4 linked regions of the Drosophila melanogaster genome follow. The protein of the gene in region 2 interacts with the protein of the main gene of each other region in a pairwise test. Each region holds a gene or a part of one and is shown on either strand. Other genes may lie near its edges.

Region 1 (4,721 bases), on a different chromosome or scaffold from region 2:
GTAAGCCCCAATGATTTGCCAGCAGTAGCTTATGTATTTCCGTATAGTTTTCAAAGCAAATACAAGTATTAGTTTAAGAATATCTCGGGAAGGCTTATGAAATTCACCTTAAGCATTCCTGCAGTCTTAGAAAGTTTGATCGCTTCGTAAACAACTTTTGTGGCTTTTACCTCTCGCAAATCCACCTCACATACATACCATTCTATCTCAAATAGTGATGAAATGGCAATTTCTTGGGAAGTTATTTTTCGGACACGTTGAATTCCTCTGGCGATGGTGTTCGCCCCTATATCATTGCCACTGTTTATTTGCTTAGCTGGCAAGGCGGTCACAAACACACATACATTTTTGCGAAATTTGGGAAAACACTCTGCATGTTGTTTTCCCGAAATTTCAGCTTACTATGTGAGGAATTTACAGCTCCAGCGAAACAGATCTCAGCCCAAATTCGCAGCTGTAGATGTTTCCACGGGGTCGTCTCTGTTTCGGTTACAGTTCCACTGATGTTTGCACTACTTAGTTGTGACAGATAAGATTATAATTAGTCTTAGCCTGCCAAGCCGGTAACAGCGACCGATAAGATAAAACTCTACACCCAAAGAGGCAACTGGGTGAAAAATATGAGGCAGAAACGAAACGAGTTGCCAATGAAGTTGACGACGACGACGACGACAATTCAAGTTGGCTGGGAGTGGAAAGCAGATAGAAAAGCCAGTCGTCAAATATGGCAAGGTCGCCTCGCAGCGCATTCCACGGATGTTTTTGTTTGCCTTCCTAATTAAATAGATCATCGGCAACAAACCAATTGGCGCTCGACAACACATCTCTATAATTTAATCAATCTTCCAACGGCAATCACATAAAAGACGCAAAGACAAAACAAATTTTACGCATTTCGAAATGAGTTCAAAACACCCAAAAGCCAAATGTTCGTCACTGAATGCCGCCGAGTGTATTGAACTCGGTCTTTGCTCCACCTCCACCTTTACCACCAGATCCACCTACCTACCTTCCTGGCTACACGGCAAAAAAATCTGAGTGCGTTTGGTGCGGCCCTTAAGTTTTTAGAAGGCATTTCGATGATTAAAGAAAAGTTATTAACACCAGCGGCTATTCTATTTATTGTTTTCTAATAATAAATCGATCAATTTTCCAGCGAAATTACTTAATTACATTGACTTTCTTTCTGTGTAGCAAACCCCCCATTCCTCCCACAAATCGCTGGCAAGTTGAGCAAACAAGTTTGCTTTGAAATTCTTGAGTAGTATTTGATGTTGATGCTAAGCGATCCCCCCAGCCCGTCTCTCCTGCCGTCGGGACAGTTGATAAGTCGTCACATGGAAACGACATGGAAACCCTACGCCTGCTCCGAGTTCCTTCCCCCCAGAATGGGACCCGCCCATTCCCACCGAGTCAACGATTAACGCCCACTTTCCCTGGATTGCAGTGCAGAACTGTCACCTGGGCGATGGGGATTTGAATTATTATTACTGCCCCCTCCCGCTCTTTATCATCCGTTATCTCTGGCAGAATCTGAATTGGATTTCTTTAGCACTCGAGAATTTGTTTTCTCCTAGCTTTGTGGTGGTCTATGCAAATTTTCCACTGTCTTGGGGCCTCTGCCTCTCAGTTATTGTTTGGGCCAATTCAGGCCAAACTCTGCATTTGAATTACATTGAATACGTTGTATCATGTTAGTTGGTCGATTAAACGGTAGTCTAACAACCGAAGTCAGTTATAAAACGTGTGGCTTATCTTTATTCAATATAAACGTATTAAGCTCGCATCTATGAGCTTCCTTAGCATCCCACTTCACCTCTATTACTTGCACCTTTGTTCATTTTCTATATCACTAACCTAATTGTTTCCATTTGTCTTTAGTTGACTCTACCTGCCTTATCAGCTTTTCAATTGCATTAGTGTTTTTTCAACCTTCTTTTGTTCCGCGTTCTAACACTCCTTAATCAATTCTAGAAGAAAACACCTTCAATTTCGAGTTGTCTGAATCTTTTCGTTGCACTAGCTTATGTAATTGCTTTGGTCGTCACACGAACCACTTATTCAAAGATACATTTGCTGAATGAATTTCGTTTCTTACCGCAAATGTGTTTTCTCACTGGTGGCACCCGTCGAAAATAATCCAAAACATGTACCGACATGCCCCACACCTATTTTTTAATGGGGGAGGTTGGGGGATTTTTGTAAGCCAGGTTTTATGGTTATAAGTGTAGAAATGCAAACGAGATCAGTATGGTTTCGTCTTTTAAACTGACCCATGCCAAATGTGCAGCTGCTCTTGAGCTCCACCTTGTCTATATTCCCGTCTCTCTCTGACGCTCTTTCTTCCCAACTCTTTCTCACTCGCAAAAGGAAGAAAAAAGAAGCAGAAGAAGGGGCAGAAGTTTTGAAGCGCGGAAAATGGCAAGCGCCAAAAACTGGTTGGAAAATCCCTGCTGTTGGGGGGAAAACTTGTTGAAGCAGCCACGAAAAAAAAAATGAGAAGACGCAGAAGAATACGATGAAGATAAAGAAGAGGGAGAATCAAAAACTTCTTGCCACCCGCTAAAAGGCAACACAAAGCTCTGTTTTTAAGGCGGAAGAATTCTTCTAGCCTTGAAGGTTGATCTTTGTACACGGGTTTTTTTATTTTGTTTATGTTTGCTGAATTTTGTAATTTTTCGGTCGCATTTTTACACGACACCTTTTGTTTTTGTCGTTTTTTGTGCCGTTTCGTGCTTTTGGTCACTAATTGTTGTTGTTGTTTGTTTTTTCTCCCTTGCTTTTTACACGAGCTTGAGAGCTGATTAAACTTATTCACAGCATTTTCATTGAGTAGAAACTGCATTTAATTTTTTGTGCATTTTCGGTTGCTTCATTTTTTGTTAACTCACAAGCTAGCACACACACACACGAGCACGCGGGCACACAGGTACACAGTACACGGACACGAGCCCCGAATCGCGGGGCATGCAACGCTCTGGGTTTCCTTGGGTTTTCCGCTTTTCCTCACGAACTGCACGGTGCGAGAGCCAAAAGAAGACTGAAACTCGCGATCAAGCAATTCCAATCCCAATCGGGCTCGTGCCCGTTCTCCCTCCGGCTCTCTCTCTCTGCGATTGCGAAAAAGCCGCAGACTACTACTGGCTCACTCCAAGTACACGACTATCCTAGTACCCTGTATTGTAATGTGTGTTTTAGATTTACACAATGTGCTGGAAGAATTTCGCGGAATAACCGATGCCTTATGGTTAATAATTTAAAGTTCCAACATTTATTGAAGAATTTGGGAAAAGAAATATAATTTAAAACATTAACAAAATCCATATTTTTTAAGTTCTTTAAGCTAACAGGTGCTAATATAATGATGATGATTTCTGCAAAATTTATTAATTTTTGTGGAGCACACAGAGAAATTCGCCAGAAAGTAGGCAATGTTTTTTTATTTATTTAAGGATATTATATTTTGGTGTCACATGATCATTTTTTCGGTTTGTTACGTTATTTGTAACCAGTCGATCATACCTTGCATTTTTCAGTTAGGCCACGTTAGCGGCCAGCTGGAAATCAGTCCACCAGAGAGCCGAAGAGAGAGTATCTTTATCTTGAGACACCACTAAGCTGTTGTTGTTGTAGCTCTACCTGCAAGTGTAGCGTGTGCATGTGTGTGCGTGTGAGAGAGAGATGGGTCCAAGACCCAGTGGTAAATTTAGTGCTAAATAATGGGGGTTAGAGCCTCTTATCAAGTAAAGCCGAAGCAAACAGGTATGTTTGTATTTCGTATTGAAAGTCACTTATCTCAGTGGGAGAGGGTAAAAGCGAGAGAGAGAGAGTCGGCTCTTTTCGCTCAGAACCTGTTGCCGCTGTCCAGTACTCATCCATATCAATGGGAGGGGGAAGGGACGGACAAAGAGAGCGCGAGAGAAAGAGGGGCCAAGAAGCGAGCCAAGAACCTGTTGCCGCAAACGGCAAAATGGCAACTTAGCCAAAAACAAAAAAAAAACTGAACCCGAAAAAGCTGAAAAAGGGAATAAGAAGATCGTGCGTCTAAAAGAGCCAACGAATGAGGAAAGCAAGGGAAAACGGCTGATAAGCAAGGCCGTTGGGTCCAGTCTTTCAAAACTGAGTTCTTGAGGACTCCGATTTCGAATCTGATTCTGATTCTTATTCTGATTCACTCAAAGTTGATTTATGTTCTGTTTGCACTTTTCATTTTCAGCGCAAGTTGATTTTTATTTTTAATTAAGTGTGTGTGCTCTCAGGAGAATCAGAAGACGTAGCAGGAGACCCAAGACCACCAACGAAGTCGGGGTTTCGAACTTGAACTCCTTACCAAAAAAAGATCTTAGAACAATGCGATATGTTTCTTTGAAAACTGCACGTTTTGGCTTGCAGCTAACAGGAATATTTATTACCTTTCGTAATTCGTGCAACATCAATATGAAACGTTTTAACAGAAGTAAGTAGTAATATTTGTGAGGATTGAAATACCTAATTTTATGGTCACAGTTTCACATTGTCCATTTCATATTCATACTATATTCTTCAAATTGATCACAATCAGTGAAAAAATATTTTTGTTTTCTGAATTTTAGCATGTGCCCAAAAAAGGTTAAAGCTATCATTCAAAAACAATAAATTAATAAATAAATTAAAACATATTTTTGGCCAAAAGTCTCAAAAGTTTGATTGATAGAATGACATATATGATGTTTTTATAAATC
Region 2 (3,346 bases):
GTTTCGCGGTATTCGAGACATTCCTTGCAGGAACAAAATGTGAAGAACTCCTCCTTCCGGTGTTTCACAAATATGAAGGCAAGATTCTGGAAATATAGCTACAATGGATTAGGAGTACGTTTCGTTATACATCTTAATCCTTTCAAGCAAACACACCGTAATTGCACGCAGCTGTCCGTCGGCGTCACGAAGCGGATTCTTTGGATCCTCAGAGAACAGGCGCATGTTCTCAATGGCCATCTGAAAAGAAGGTGAACGATAGTGAGTATTTACTGAGAAAGCTTTATATTCTCAAATATAATGTATTTGGTATGATTGCACCTATCAATATTCTAAAGCATAATTTCAAATAAGTGTTCTTTAAACCAAAAAAAATCATGTTTAAGTATTTCGAAACATCTAAAGTCGATCTAATAAGATAATTTCTATCCCATTTGATTTGATAACTCATTAAATCCAATCTAAATGTAGGTATAATATAAAAAAATCCCACACACATCTTTAATAGTACATTTAAATAAAAAAAATACATGAAATGAAATCGATCTCCACAGCTTTCGGGCAGCTTCTGGGAACCCACCAAATACGATCGCGTCTCATCGTTGGGATCGCCGCCCTTGTGCTCGCACTCGTGCAGCAGCTTGTCGCTGAGCTCCAGTTCGATGGCGTTGTCTTCCCGCTGGCTCCACTGCATCAGCGATACGACCTCCTTGTAGACCGTCTCCGCTTTGGGGGCGGGGGCATAAGGATCAAAAGGAGGCAGGGCGAGGATCGTGTGCAGCGTGTTGATGATGTTGCCGTCGGGAAAGCTGAGCCGCTCCAGGAGCTGGCATGGCGGTGAGCTGCTCCGCGCCGGCTTCGCCTGTTGGACACCAGCAGGCGGTGGCGACGGATTCAGCTGGGAAGCGGTGGCGACGCAGGAGGAGGACGCTGTGGCATCCACATCGCCCTCCGCATCCGCATCTACATCTACGTCCATGGAGGACAGAGACATCACATGGCAGCAGGAAGGCGGCGCCTCCTCCATTGGCAGTTCGCCATTGACCAGCGGCTCATCTGCATCCGTTTCTTTGGTGTGCGCCACCTGATCGGCCATTTCTGGCGGGGCTTTCACGCGGTGGATGGGTCAATGAGCCCAGCCAACTCAGTCAGTCCCCGGCTCCGGATCACTTGTTAGTCTTTGGTGCTTCTGCTGGCCAAATCCGCGTATGCGCGACGCATTATTATATACGAAATCACAGATGTAGATGCACTTTCACTCGCTCACTGTATGCGCGCGCGTGTCTGTGTGTGTGCGCTGGTGTGTCGGTGTGCAAGTGTATAAGTGTGGGTATTGGATTGGTTTGGTTTTTGGAATCGAAATCGGTTTTGGAAAAGAACGCAGAGCAGCACAACGCAACGCGCTTTGCCCCTCGAATCGCGCCAAGTGCGCCTCTGCTTTCATCAGCGTTTCACTGCAGGGCCATCCGTTTGGATTTTCCGGGACCCGACTTTCCGTTGCCTCGCAGTTTCCGTTTCGTTTGCACCCACGATTGTTGTGATTTTCCGCTTTTTGTGATTTTTCGCCTGCTCGTTGCAATTCGCTCGTTTCTCGTTGATTGCATTCGCATCGGTGTGCCCGTGGCGGCCTTCGCTCAAATTACCGCAACGCCGCGCAAGAGTCACGAATAAATGGTCATACCCCGTGCACACTTGTTTGGCCGAAAAGTTTTCTACATCTATCCCAAAGAACAAACACAAACTTTTATTTATATGAGCTTTACTTTACTTCTGTGTGGTCCATTCTTAGAAAACTATACTAATGCGTTCTTAAAAATTTGATTTGGGAAATGTTAAAAAAGCATTTTAAGCCATACAAAAATTGTAAAACCATAGGAATGTATGTTTCATATACTTTTTTCAACATATATTGTAGGTAAAACAAATCATCATGTATTTATACAGAAAAAGGTCCCAAAGATCTAAAAATTTCCTATTCTGTCTATGGAATAAACACATTTATAATGCAAGAAAATATATTTTACAGTAAATTCTTTCAATTCGATAGTGGGCCAAATGTCGTACAGAATATATCCGTGTCCCTTCGATGTGTTGACAACCCTGACCGAATTTCGTAATTTCGAAACGAACGAATTCAGCCGGCGAAGTGGAGAAGAAAATGTCCGCATCGACGGACCAGGATCCCGTGGAACTAATGCTGAAGAAGACCGGCTGCATAGAGCTTCACTACAAGGTGCAGGAGTGTATCGCCGAGACGGGCGACTGGAGGGCTTGCCAGGAGAAGGTGAAAGAGTTCCGGGCGTGCATGCAGAAGTACGTGGAGCAGCAGAGCCAGAAGTATGCCCACGTCAAGTAGCATCCTGCAGAAGTTCCTCAGCAACGGTTTGGCCTTCGGCAAGTCCACCAAACTGGCGCTGGTGGTCCGAACCGACCTAAAGATGTCCAAGGGAAAGACAGCGGCCCAGTGCGCCCATGCGGCGGTCATGTGCTACCAGAGCTCTGTGCAGGGAACCAAGCTGCAGAACGCCATTCTGCAGCGTTGGTGTCGCCTGGGACAGCCGAAGATAGTGCTGCGCGTGGACAACTTCGAGCAGCTAAACTCCCTGGAGCGACAGGCCCAAGAGTCGAACGTGGTGGCCGCCTTGGTGAGGGATGCCGGGCGCACTCAGCTGGAATCTGGGACAGCAACGGTCCTCGGACTGGGTCCAGCCCCTGCCGAAGATCTAGACAAATTGGTGGCGCATTTGAAGCTTTTGTGAACTCTTAGGTTTATGCAACGTTACAAATAAAGTACAAGTAATCAACAAGTGCTCAAGCGGCGGTCTTCTTGCCCTTGGAAACTGTAGATATAGTAAGGGACACTGCTTGGCCGAACATCTCCACCAGGTCTGATGTAACTCGCTCCGTGATCTGCCGCAGCTTGCCATTACCCTCGCCACAGATTAGGCGCTCGATTCGCGTGGTGGGGCACTGAACCTGCACGGATGTGTAGACAACATCTGCAAAGAAAATCGGAATTGAAAAGGATTTCTTTACGAGTGTACAGAAGTACTCACTTTTTTCCACACTGTAGTACTCGATCTCGCACTTAAGGTTGTAGGGTATCTCCTGCGGCAAGTAGTCCAGCAGACGAGCCCGCACACTCTCCACAATTAATGCTTCTGGGCTGGAGTCCGTATGAATGTCAGCTGGGTATTTCCAATCCCTGGGCTTAGCCTGGCCCACCAGGTAGTTCTGCATCTCCTGCAGCCCATTGCCGGTCAAGGCGGAAACAAGAAACACGTCGCTAAAATGGCTCCAGCTAGACTCCCGCTTGTTGATTCTTATTTCCTTGGCGAGAGCACTT
Region 3 (4,802 bases), on a different chromosome or scaffold from region 2:
ATAATTTTAACTGATGCCTTTGAGTGTACAAGTATTGGCTTACATAGTTGCCTTGTCCCGCTTTTGTCAGTGACAGTGCCAGTTTGGACAGATGTGTTAATTCTAGAGGGAAGTTCTCTAAAAGAGTTTTGTACAGCGAACACGGACCATCATCTAGATAAATGTAAAGTTGTTCGTTCTAAACTAATTTTTTCGGTTAAGCTCTTTTGATTATATGATACTGACCTTCCCGACTGCAAAAGTCTTTAGCTAAGTGTGGCCATGAGACAAGTTCGCAGAGCAATTCGTAAATGCCCTCATACCGAGCGCAGCTGCCATCGCCGTCGAAGAGGTCGCACAGATATCCAACCTGGTTGTATATGGTTCTTCGCACAATCCGTGACAGCATAGAGTCATCGGCGTACATAGAATGTCTGGCAATTAGGTGCAGTTGGACAAAACACTTAAGATCCACGGCTCGCTTGCCCAGCTGCCGACAGCGGAGCAAGCTGGAGGCATCGTCGGCATCGTTGGTGCCTCGCAAGCGAAGCAGCATCCACGCTAGGAGCAAAGGGCCATGCTCTGGTCTGTGGTACATGCTGGCAATATCAACCTGCAGATCCTCTATAAGCTTTTCAATTAGATCGGAATGCTTCTCGGGCTTCTCAAAGTCGAGGCACTTTAAAACTAACATTAGCTCTGAGTAAGAAAGGCTTCGAATAATCTCCTGATGGTAAGGTTGGCTGTCATCCAGATAACTTTGCATCTTTCCAAAGGAGTGTTGCTTGCAGGCGGCAAATATTCTCTTTATCTGCTCCAACCCCATGGGCAGGTGTTCCGCTAGCACCAGAAGGATGTGCAGCACCTCGTTGATCTCACGAGCATTTCGCTCCGACCAGGCAACTAAGCGTTCCGCAGAGTGGAAGCATTCTCCCGCCATTAGCTTTCTGGGTGGGACTTCGCAAATAAGGCTCTCCAGTTGGTCTAGGTATGAATCTCTAAGGCGGGGGATGGTTATCTTTTCGACCACGGCGCGATACTCCCGGTGATAGGGATGATTCGGTACCTGGTGAAAGACGATAAGATTCTTAACAATCTTGAGGACAACCATGCGTTCCAGGGAGTAGTAATGCCGTATGTCTTCGTGCAGTTTGGCCATATTCGTTTCGGTAGAGATTAGTTGGGTAAGGAGACTCGCCGATCCACGGTACTCCTGCGTAAGGTAGTAGCAAAGGATTTCCCAGCACTGGGCGGATTCTAGATCCAACAGATCCTGCAGTCGTTCGGTGAAGGGCAGCAGCTTTTCCTGCTTTTTCTCTTTGAGCAACGTGCCCAGCTCGAGGCTGGAGGCATTCTTGGGCTTAAATTGGAGCACTCCAGCCTGCAATTCAGAAGCCACGTTCATCAGCTCCTCACGTACAGTATCCTGCGGCGTCTCATAGTGGATTCCTGAGACCATCGGCCACAGGCGCTTCCAATCGGTGCTACATGGCAAATCGAAGGATTTTATTTAGTCATTCAATATTGTCGCACTGCCGATACTCACATCACGCTCTTTTCCACCGCAGGCATTGTCTAGGCTCTGTCTCTTAACAACTACAATAAAAAATTATTTAATAACAAATGTATTCTGTTCCACGCGCAAATTCGCGGCGTTGGAGTTGCCACCTAGCACAATAAAATGCCGGGACAATCAGCTGGTAACACCGAAGGTGTATCGATAAAACGATAGTTCTTGTTTTAAAAAGCCAGTTAGAAAATTGTGATACAGTACTTTATACATTTTCTTTAGCTTACTAAATCTTACTTAAATCAAGGTATGACATCTTAGATCTGATGATCGCTTATAGATTTATACAAATAAAATATACATGGAAAGCACGTGTGCGCCCCATTATTTATCTATTATTGTAGCATTACAGTTAAATTGGTATATATTTCACGCGAATAGGTTTAGAAACCTATTTTATAGGTTTCAAATATAGACGTTCGCATGTGGCCCTTCAATCATAACTTGACACATGCATTTAGCATTCAGATCTTGATATTTCCCAAATATTTCATAAATAGCCTTCCAATCCAGCCGGACTAGAACTATTTAGGTTAGACTTTCCAATCACATAAAGCCATTCCAGTGAGGCTGTGGCTGCGGCTAACAGACCTGCGAAGTCAGAGTGCAAAGTGCGCAGATGCTGCACTCCGGCGCCCACTGCACCGCCCAGCCACCCAACCACGCCATTCTAGAGGCCCATTTCTTGGAAACTAATACCACTACTCCTCGGCTAGCCGCAGCCTCCCATCTTTTCCAGATCTAAGAGCGAGCGAGAGAGGAGCGGAGAAGGCGCGAGAGAGTAGGCGCACTCGAAGTTCACGTTCACGGCGCCTGGAAGCTGCAGCCCGAAAATTGTCCTGTTAGTACGAGAAAACTATTGACAGGCGAAAGGTCTAAAATTGCTCATATTCTGGCAGAAAAGGCAGATTGGACTTCAAAAGTCTGATAGCCGCAATGGCTCAAGTTCAGCTCAACGCAGGAAATGGGCAAGCCCCTAGCAACGGAAATAATGTCGAGGATAATGAACGTAAGTCTGCCGATTGGCAATTGTGAAATCATAATAGAAAATTGAGTGATTGCCCGGAAAGTGCACAAGTGTTGGTCTGCACAGTCCTAGTGGAAGGACATATGTGCATACCTACGCACATAGTGTGTGTCATGTATCAGGATATATGTAGGTATATATGTATGTATCATAAAGGTGTATGTCAGCAGCAGCTAGCATCTTTGACATAGCTAGGATGCTTTTTGGCCTGGCGTTGGGTGATAACTTAAACGGGAGAGCGAGCATGAGAGCAGGATAACAAAGAGAGAGAAATGTCTGAAAGGATGCTGCGAGAGCGCCAGAGATGCCACTGCTGCCCAAAAGCAACAAGTTTTTGAACTTAAGCTAAATCAGATAAGGCTAGAACTACCTCGATTTCGTTAGTTAATTTCGTAGTGTATAAAGGGGTATCAAATATAATTATTATAATCTGTAAGCTTTTATATTATTCAAAACAAGGACAATAATTAAAGGTAACTTATTTCTTTTATTTCCATAGCCTATCAAATAAGTGACGATGATTTGGATGACCTGGATGATGATTGCTTGCTCGAGGAGGCAGATACCTCAGGGGCAGGCAATAATGTGGGACGTGGTCCTTACGAGCGTGCTTGGACCACAGAGGCCACCAGGGCATTGATTCACATACGCGGTCCCATGGAGGGTAGCTTTACAGAGGGCAGGTGAGCAAGGTTTTTATTCCACCGTAAAGACATCTTTGTAAAAGTAACTCCCTTACAGACAAAAACGGACTGCTCTTTGGCTGCACTGCACCCGGCAACTACAGCGACTGGGATTTCGCTACTCCGCCGCAAAGGTGCAGAAGAAGTGGCATAACATCCTCATCACCTACAACAAGAATCTGAACAAAAAATACGTATCCGGCTATGTGCACTGGGAGTTCTTCGAGGAGATGTTCAAGTATCTGCAGGGCAAGAAGGCTGACTTTGATATGCAGTTGCCACAACAGACTTCAAATGCGCCACAAGCTCCACATTCGGCTAATGGGCAAAACCCGAATCCGGGTATTCCCCAGCAACCTTTACAGCTTCAACCTACTCCGGTGAGCCTAAAGCCGGGAACACCCCAAATGCAGGTGCAACTTCCACCCCAGACTGCGGCCAAGGACAGCCAGCCGTATATTACACCTGTGGATCAGGTCCTGCTGCAGGCCCAGATGAATCTGGACAGCAAGTCCAACGATGAGTTCGATGAGGATAGCAACAGCATGTCGGAGGTAGTCCGTCAACCCAAGATGGAGTACGATGGCGATCAAGTTGCGGAGGCTGAACGTACAAACGATAGCAGCCAACATCTGGAAGTTAATGGCAAGCTCTACGATCTGGCACGACCCATGGGCTCGCACCAAGCTTCTGGCATCCCCGATGACATCTGGTGGAAGGACTACTTTGAAAGAAAACTGGAAGTGGAGCGGGAGAAGATAGAGCTACAACGGAGTTTGCAGCGCGAACAGGTGCAGATCCAAAAAATGTCACTGGTGCAGCAGGAGCGGATTGAGCGCATGAAGATCGATGCCATCAACAGCCTGACGGGCACGCTGCAAAAGTTGGTGGAGGCCAAGTGCCGCCGGGCCTAAGATGAATCTGTTCCCTCCCAGTAAATTTCGATAACTTTAGGCTTCGATTCGTCTGTATCTAGTTGGGTGTGTAAATACAATTTCGGCTAACTAAAACACTCTACGGCTGCCAGTCTATCTCGAAAATGCTAGCCAGGGAGGTCAGCTTTCCGTGGGGTTTCTCCAGACCATAACTTAGGCTCCAGATATCCGTGGTAAAGATCAGACCTTCTCCTGCATTCAGTCGCATCCGCAAGCTTGGACATATTCCTTTATTGCAGGGCTTCTTTGGATGGAGAACCATCTCAAAGTGGCCACTCAGTTGCTGGATGAGCACTAGGCCACGCACGTATATATCGGCTTGGTTTCGCTTTTGCTGATGGACTGCCAATAGCCAGCTGGAGTAATACGGGGCCAGGTGAAGTGGGTAGTAGTAGGGACGATCCAGAAAAAGCCGAGAGGACTTCACCGCCTTCTTCTGGCAGTTCCTCAGTTGAAGGTGCCAAGAATTCGATGTCTGTCCCTGCCAGGAATGAATCTTATCCAGAGCCGCCTCTAGGTTAAAAAGTTTCCTCAGCAACAGATTGCTGGAAACATCACAAGGTTCACTGGTTAGCCACTGAGGTGACTTCTTCTCTATTTGCTCTAGG
Region 4 (4,122 bases), on a different chromosome or scaffold from region 2:
CGATTTTCGGGGCGAAAAAAGCAGACATACCATTAAAAATTGGCCAAAAAGTTTTAGAAGCCCTTTAAAATAACTTTTTTGCACTGCTCAATTCCTATATTAAAGGTCCCTAGCTCAGGATTTGGATCTTAAAATCGATTTTTATGCCTGAAATATCACATTTTTGAGCATAAAATGACAGATTAACTATCATAAATTGGCCAAATAGTGTCAGAAACACTTAAGAATAACATTTTTGTACAGCTTATGACCTAAACTAAAGATCCATATCATAATCCAGGCGTTTTTCCAAAATCCATTTTTCGCCATTTTTTGAATTTTTCATAAGGGGTAACATCATTAAAATTTGCAAAAAATTGAAAAAAATTAAATTTGTCAAATTCGAACACCAATCGATTGGGGATGTGATTACGAACTAAACGAGGTATTACACTCAGGATTTGGACGATATAGTCGATTGTTTTGGACAAAATACCGTTTTTTTGGTCCGAAAATCAGAGGGTCAATCCTCTACATTACATTAAGTACATTAAGCCCTAGGAATGCCTGTTTCGCACAGCTAAAGCTCAAAACCATAGATCCTTAATACGATACTAAAACATTCACCAATTCAAATTTTATAACGATTCCAAGGAATCGTTATTTGAATTCGATAAAAATATTCATAAAGTTCTTTCAAAGCCATTTTTATCTTAGGTTACTTCACCAAACTGAAGGAATGACCGCTTTGTGCAGCCATTTGTGTATTTATATGTATCTCTGAGAAAACCCAATAAAATTAGAGACCATAGCATTTGCCCAAAGCAACTCAGCTGACTCGTACAGGACTCCAGACCCTCCGCAGCCACCACAAATAAGTGTCCTGCGATTTTCGGGCTTGCTAAATGGTTTACGAATGGGCACGGCATGTGCCTGCTTTTGTTTAGTGGCCAACAGCGATGCCAACTGCAGTCGCAACCCACTTGCTCGTGCTTATGGCGATGTGGCCCCGCACCGCCGCCCTCGTGCAGATATATTTATAGAATTTAAATTTAAACAAAAGCGAGCAGCAGCAGCAGTGAAGAGCGGCAGAGTGACCAATGCGACGGTGGCTTCGGCTTTCCAGGGCGCCTGCTCCTGACAAGCTGACAGGCCTGCTGGGCCTGACTCTGGATGCCGGATGCCGGGACCAGGACCAGGACCTCGCCCAGGCGACATTTCCACTTGTCATGCTTTTGCTTGAGTAATTAAATAACAATTTCCCTCCGCGCTTTACACGCTGGCCGAAACAATGGCGCCAACGCAATTGACAGCCACTGAAAGTGACATCGGATCGGAATCGGGATCTGGTGGGCTAAAGCCGGAAGACAACTGACGATTGGCGGAAGGTTCCTGACTACTTCAATTTATGGCTATAGGAAATGCGCCTCTGGGTTAAATGGCCACATGTTGAGGCATTGCCTCCAATCTGTGGCAGTGGGTCGAGTTCATCGGGCTGAGGAGATATAATCAGTTGGGATTAGAACATGTATTATGAAAGTAACTTTTAAATTTGAATTTCTAGTACCGAAACTTGCAGATTTTGCAGCACTGGATTTAAACGAAAATTGGAACTGTTATTTGGGAGCGCCACCGATAAAAGCTTTTCGCAGTCAGTTGGCAGTACCTTGATACTATTTTGAAATGCAAAATGAGAATGTTCATCGTTGTTAGTGTTTCATTTAATTGCCAAAAGCAGTGTGGCCTTAACAGTGTGGCTTTTATAGAATCAGTTTAAAATCCTATGGAACCATGGCAACTCTGCCTCGCGATTGCCGCCATCTTAGCCCAGGTTCTTCCACTCGTGCTTGACGCACGTGTTTTCTTCTTTCCGAACTTTTCAGTTCAGAGAATTGATTTCGATAAAACGCGATGGTAAAAGTCCACATACGTCAAATAATTTCACACCTAAAATATTTCCTTGTATTTCGCAGTCAAAGCGCTGCTGGAACCGCAACCAGCGCTCGGTGTCCCTGCCCAGGAGCGAATTCGTCGAAATAAACCCCATGATGCCCGGCAGGAGCACCGCAGCTGAAGGCGCACGCGGGAGAGCATCATCCGGACCTCGGATGACCGTGGAGACCCTGTTCCATACTTCTCACTCGGCGAAGAAGGAGCGTCCACAGCAGGGTGCAAAACCCATGGAAAACCGAGTTTTGAAGGAAAGCTCCACGTCTAAGAATTCGCGTGAGATGCCTTCTCTGCTACTCTCCACCAAGGGCAGGCCAGATGGCACTTGGAATAATATGAGAGCCAAGGAAAACAAGCAGCATCGCAAAGAAGGGAGTCGCCACCTGGCTGCAACTTCCACGATGCCCAAGATGGATGAGCTTGGACCCGACTGGCGAAAACCTTGGCCGATCGGCGGTTTTTCTCGGAATAATCGTAGTAGCCCTCAGATGTTCAGTACAGTTCCTTCGAAAAGTTCTGTTAACATTTCAAGAGACAACAACAATTATCCCGATTTAAAAATAGAAGACACTGGGAAAAAGAGCCACACAGTCACAGGAAAGGCACCGAACACGCGTGCAGAAGATCAAAGGTCAGGAATGGTGGCCCATCTAAGCGGTCTAAATAGCAAGACTAAGCACACGAGGCTGATGAGTACTTCCAAGCGCTGCAAAGCAGGTTCGGAAGATTCTGTTTACCATCAGACCCTGAATGATGTCATCTCCCAGTGGGATTGCCAGCCGTCGACCAGTAAAAGTAATCCATGCCAGATTCCGAAGATTCCGAATCTGCCGTCCGGATGGACAGCTTCGCCGAGCAAAGACGCGGACTTCCCTTTCATGGCGGATCTGGAAAATAGGATGGGGGTCGAAAGTCTGATGCCCGAGCTGCTGACTCCATCGCGCACCTCCCAGCCGCTGACAAAGAATTCTCCGCCTTGGGACTTGTATGCCTTGATGGGCAACGACGACAAATTTCCGCTTAGCATCTGCACCGATGAGAGATCCAAAAATGATCCATTGTGGGGCTCCACTTGCATTAACTGGGAAGAAAGCAGCGGCAGGAACTTGGACTTGAACCACGTCTGCGAGAGGGCCTTGGGAAAATTCCCAGGCCCATCTGCTACTCCGGGAAACGTGGAAGATTGGCAGGCCATCGAGACTATTTGCATGCGTTTGAGGGGCTTCGATATGCCGGGCGACCTGGGTGTTCTGATGGAACCTCCATCCTTGGATGATGTACTCGAGGTTATCGGGGACTTGGAGGCGGAGAACAAGAAGGATCTGAAGAATTAGTTGCATATATGTGTAAATCATGCTGAGTATAACTTCAGCCAAAGGAAAAATGACACTAGAAATACCAAAACTTTTTTTTTATAAATATTTTTCAAAATTTTTCGAAACGAGACACGTGATTATCCGCCGATCTATTTAATATTTGAGAAAAATCTGTATGTAAGAACCTGTGCATTTCTATTCCCCAAAACCAATAGTGCTTCCATACAACTGATACAAAAAACTGGTGAATTCTGCCAAGTTAGGCAAATATTTTATACCATTTCACTGACTCCCAGCATTTTTCCCCAGCTTGTAACAATAAATACTGTGTGCAGCTGCAGCAACAATAGCTGGGAAAAACAGCAATGGCATCAATTTTTTGTAACATGTTGCCAAACATGGCCGAGACCACGCCCACACGCCCACAGCCTGGAGCAGAAGGACTCCGCCCGATGCCACCGATACTGATACCGATGCCACTGATGTTGCTGCTCCTGCTGCGGTGGCCACTTAAATGTCGTTATGTTGTCGGGTCACGCGCACTGCCTCCAGGCTGCCCCACAACCACGTCTATCCGACATCCAAATCCATGTCCATGACCATGTCCTTCGACTCTCGTCCGTTTTTCGGCCAGCGGGACCAAAGGGAAAAACAACTTTATTGCCGCAGCAATTATGCGTAGCTAATAAAAATGTGCGGAGGTGTTGGCAGCAGCAGAAGGGGGTCGCCAAATCGGAAAATTGGATGGGTGATGTGGGAGGGCAGCCAGTTTCCTGGGCGGGCAGGCAGCATCGACAGCGAAACGATTTATGCAATCGAGAATAATTAATGCGCTGATTTATTTAAAAGCGTGTTTTGGCATTCAAATGAAGGCGCC

What was found.
Region 1: the proteins of CG17327 (region 2) and Shrm interact in a two-hybrid assay, tested with the Drosophila melanogaster proteins (one large-scale study listed by BioGRID).
Region 3: the proteins of CG17327 (region 2) and CG13148 interact in a two-hybrid assay, tested with the Drosophila melanogaster proteins (one large-scale study listed by BioGRID).
Region 4: the proteins of CG17327 (region 2) and CG13577 interact in a two-hybrid assay, tested with the Drosophila melanogaster proteins (one large-scale study listed by BioGRID).

What each region holds. Positions count from the first base shown.
Region 1 is NT_033778.4:14,306,464-14,311,184, reverse strand, and holds the start of Shrm (shroom), read right to left. Parts: upstream 3,044-4,721; 5' UTR 2,892-3,043; intron 1-2,891. UniProt on the Drosophila melanogaster protein: Binds to Rho-kinase Rok and targets it to the apical cell cortex where it mediates apical constriction.
Region 2 is NT_033777.3:12,996,335-12,999,680, reverse strand, and holds CG17327 (uncharacterized protein), read left to right. Parts: upstream 1-1,954; 5' UTR 1,955-2,158; coding exon of another isoform or gene 2,159-2,339; coding exon 2,340-2,759; 3' UTR 2,760-2,805; downstream 2,806-3,346. Other genes in the region: CG7518 (uncharacterized protein), read right to left, coding at 1-98, 157-240, 581-1,096; CG44194 (uncharacterized protein), read left to right, coding at 2,159-2,356; CG7488 (uncharacterized protein), read right to left, coding at 2,812-2,999, 3,057-3,346.
Region 3 is NT_033778.4:12,684,522-12,689,323, forward strand, and holds CG13148 (uncharacterized protein), read left to right. Parts: upstream 1-1,727; 5' UTR 1,728-1,796; intron 1,797-2,087; exon of another isoform or gene 2,088-2,265; 5' UTR 2,266-2,485; coding exon 2,486-2,558; intron 2,559-3,075; coding exon 3,076-3,259; intron 3,260-3,317; coding exon 3,318-4,173; 3' UTR 4,174-4,265; downstream 4,266-4,802. Other genes in the region: Nup188 (nucleoporin 188kDa), read right to left, coding at 44-153, 226-1,463, 1,526-1,551; CG30053 (uncharacterized protein), read right to left, coding at 4,274-4,802.
Region 4 is NT_033778.4:24,266,861-24,270,982, reverse strand, and holds CG13577 (uncharacterized protein), read left to right. Parts: upstream 1-1,803; 5' UTR 1,804-1,890; coding exon 1,891-1,893; intron 1,894-1,952; coding exon 1,953-3,263; 3' UTR 3,264-3,606; downstream 3,607-4,122.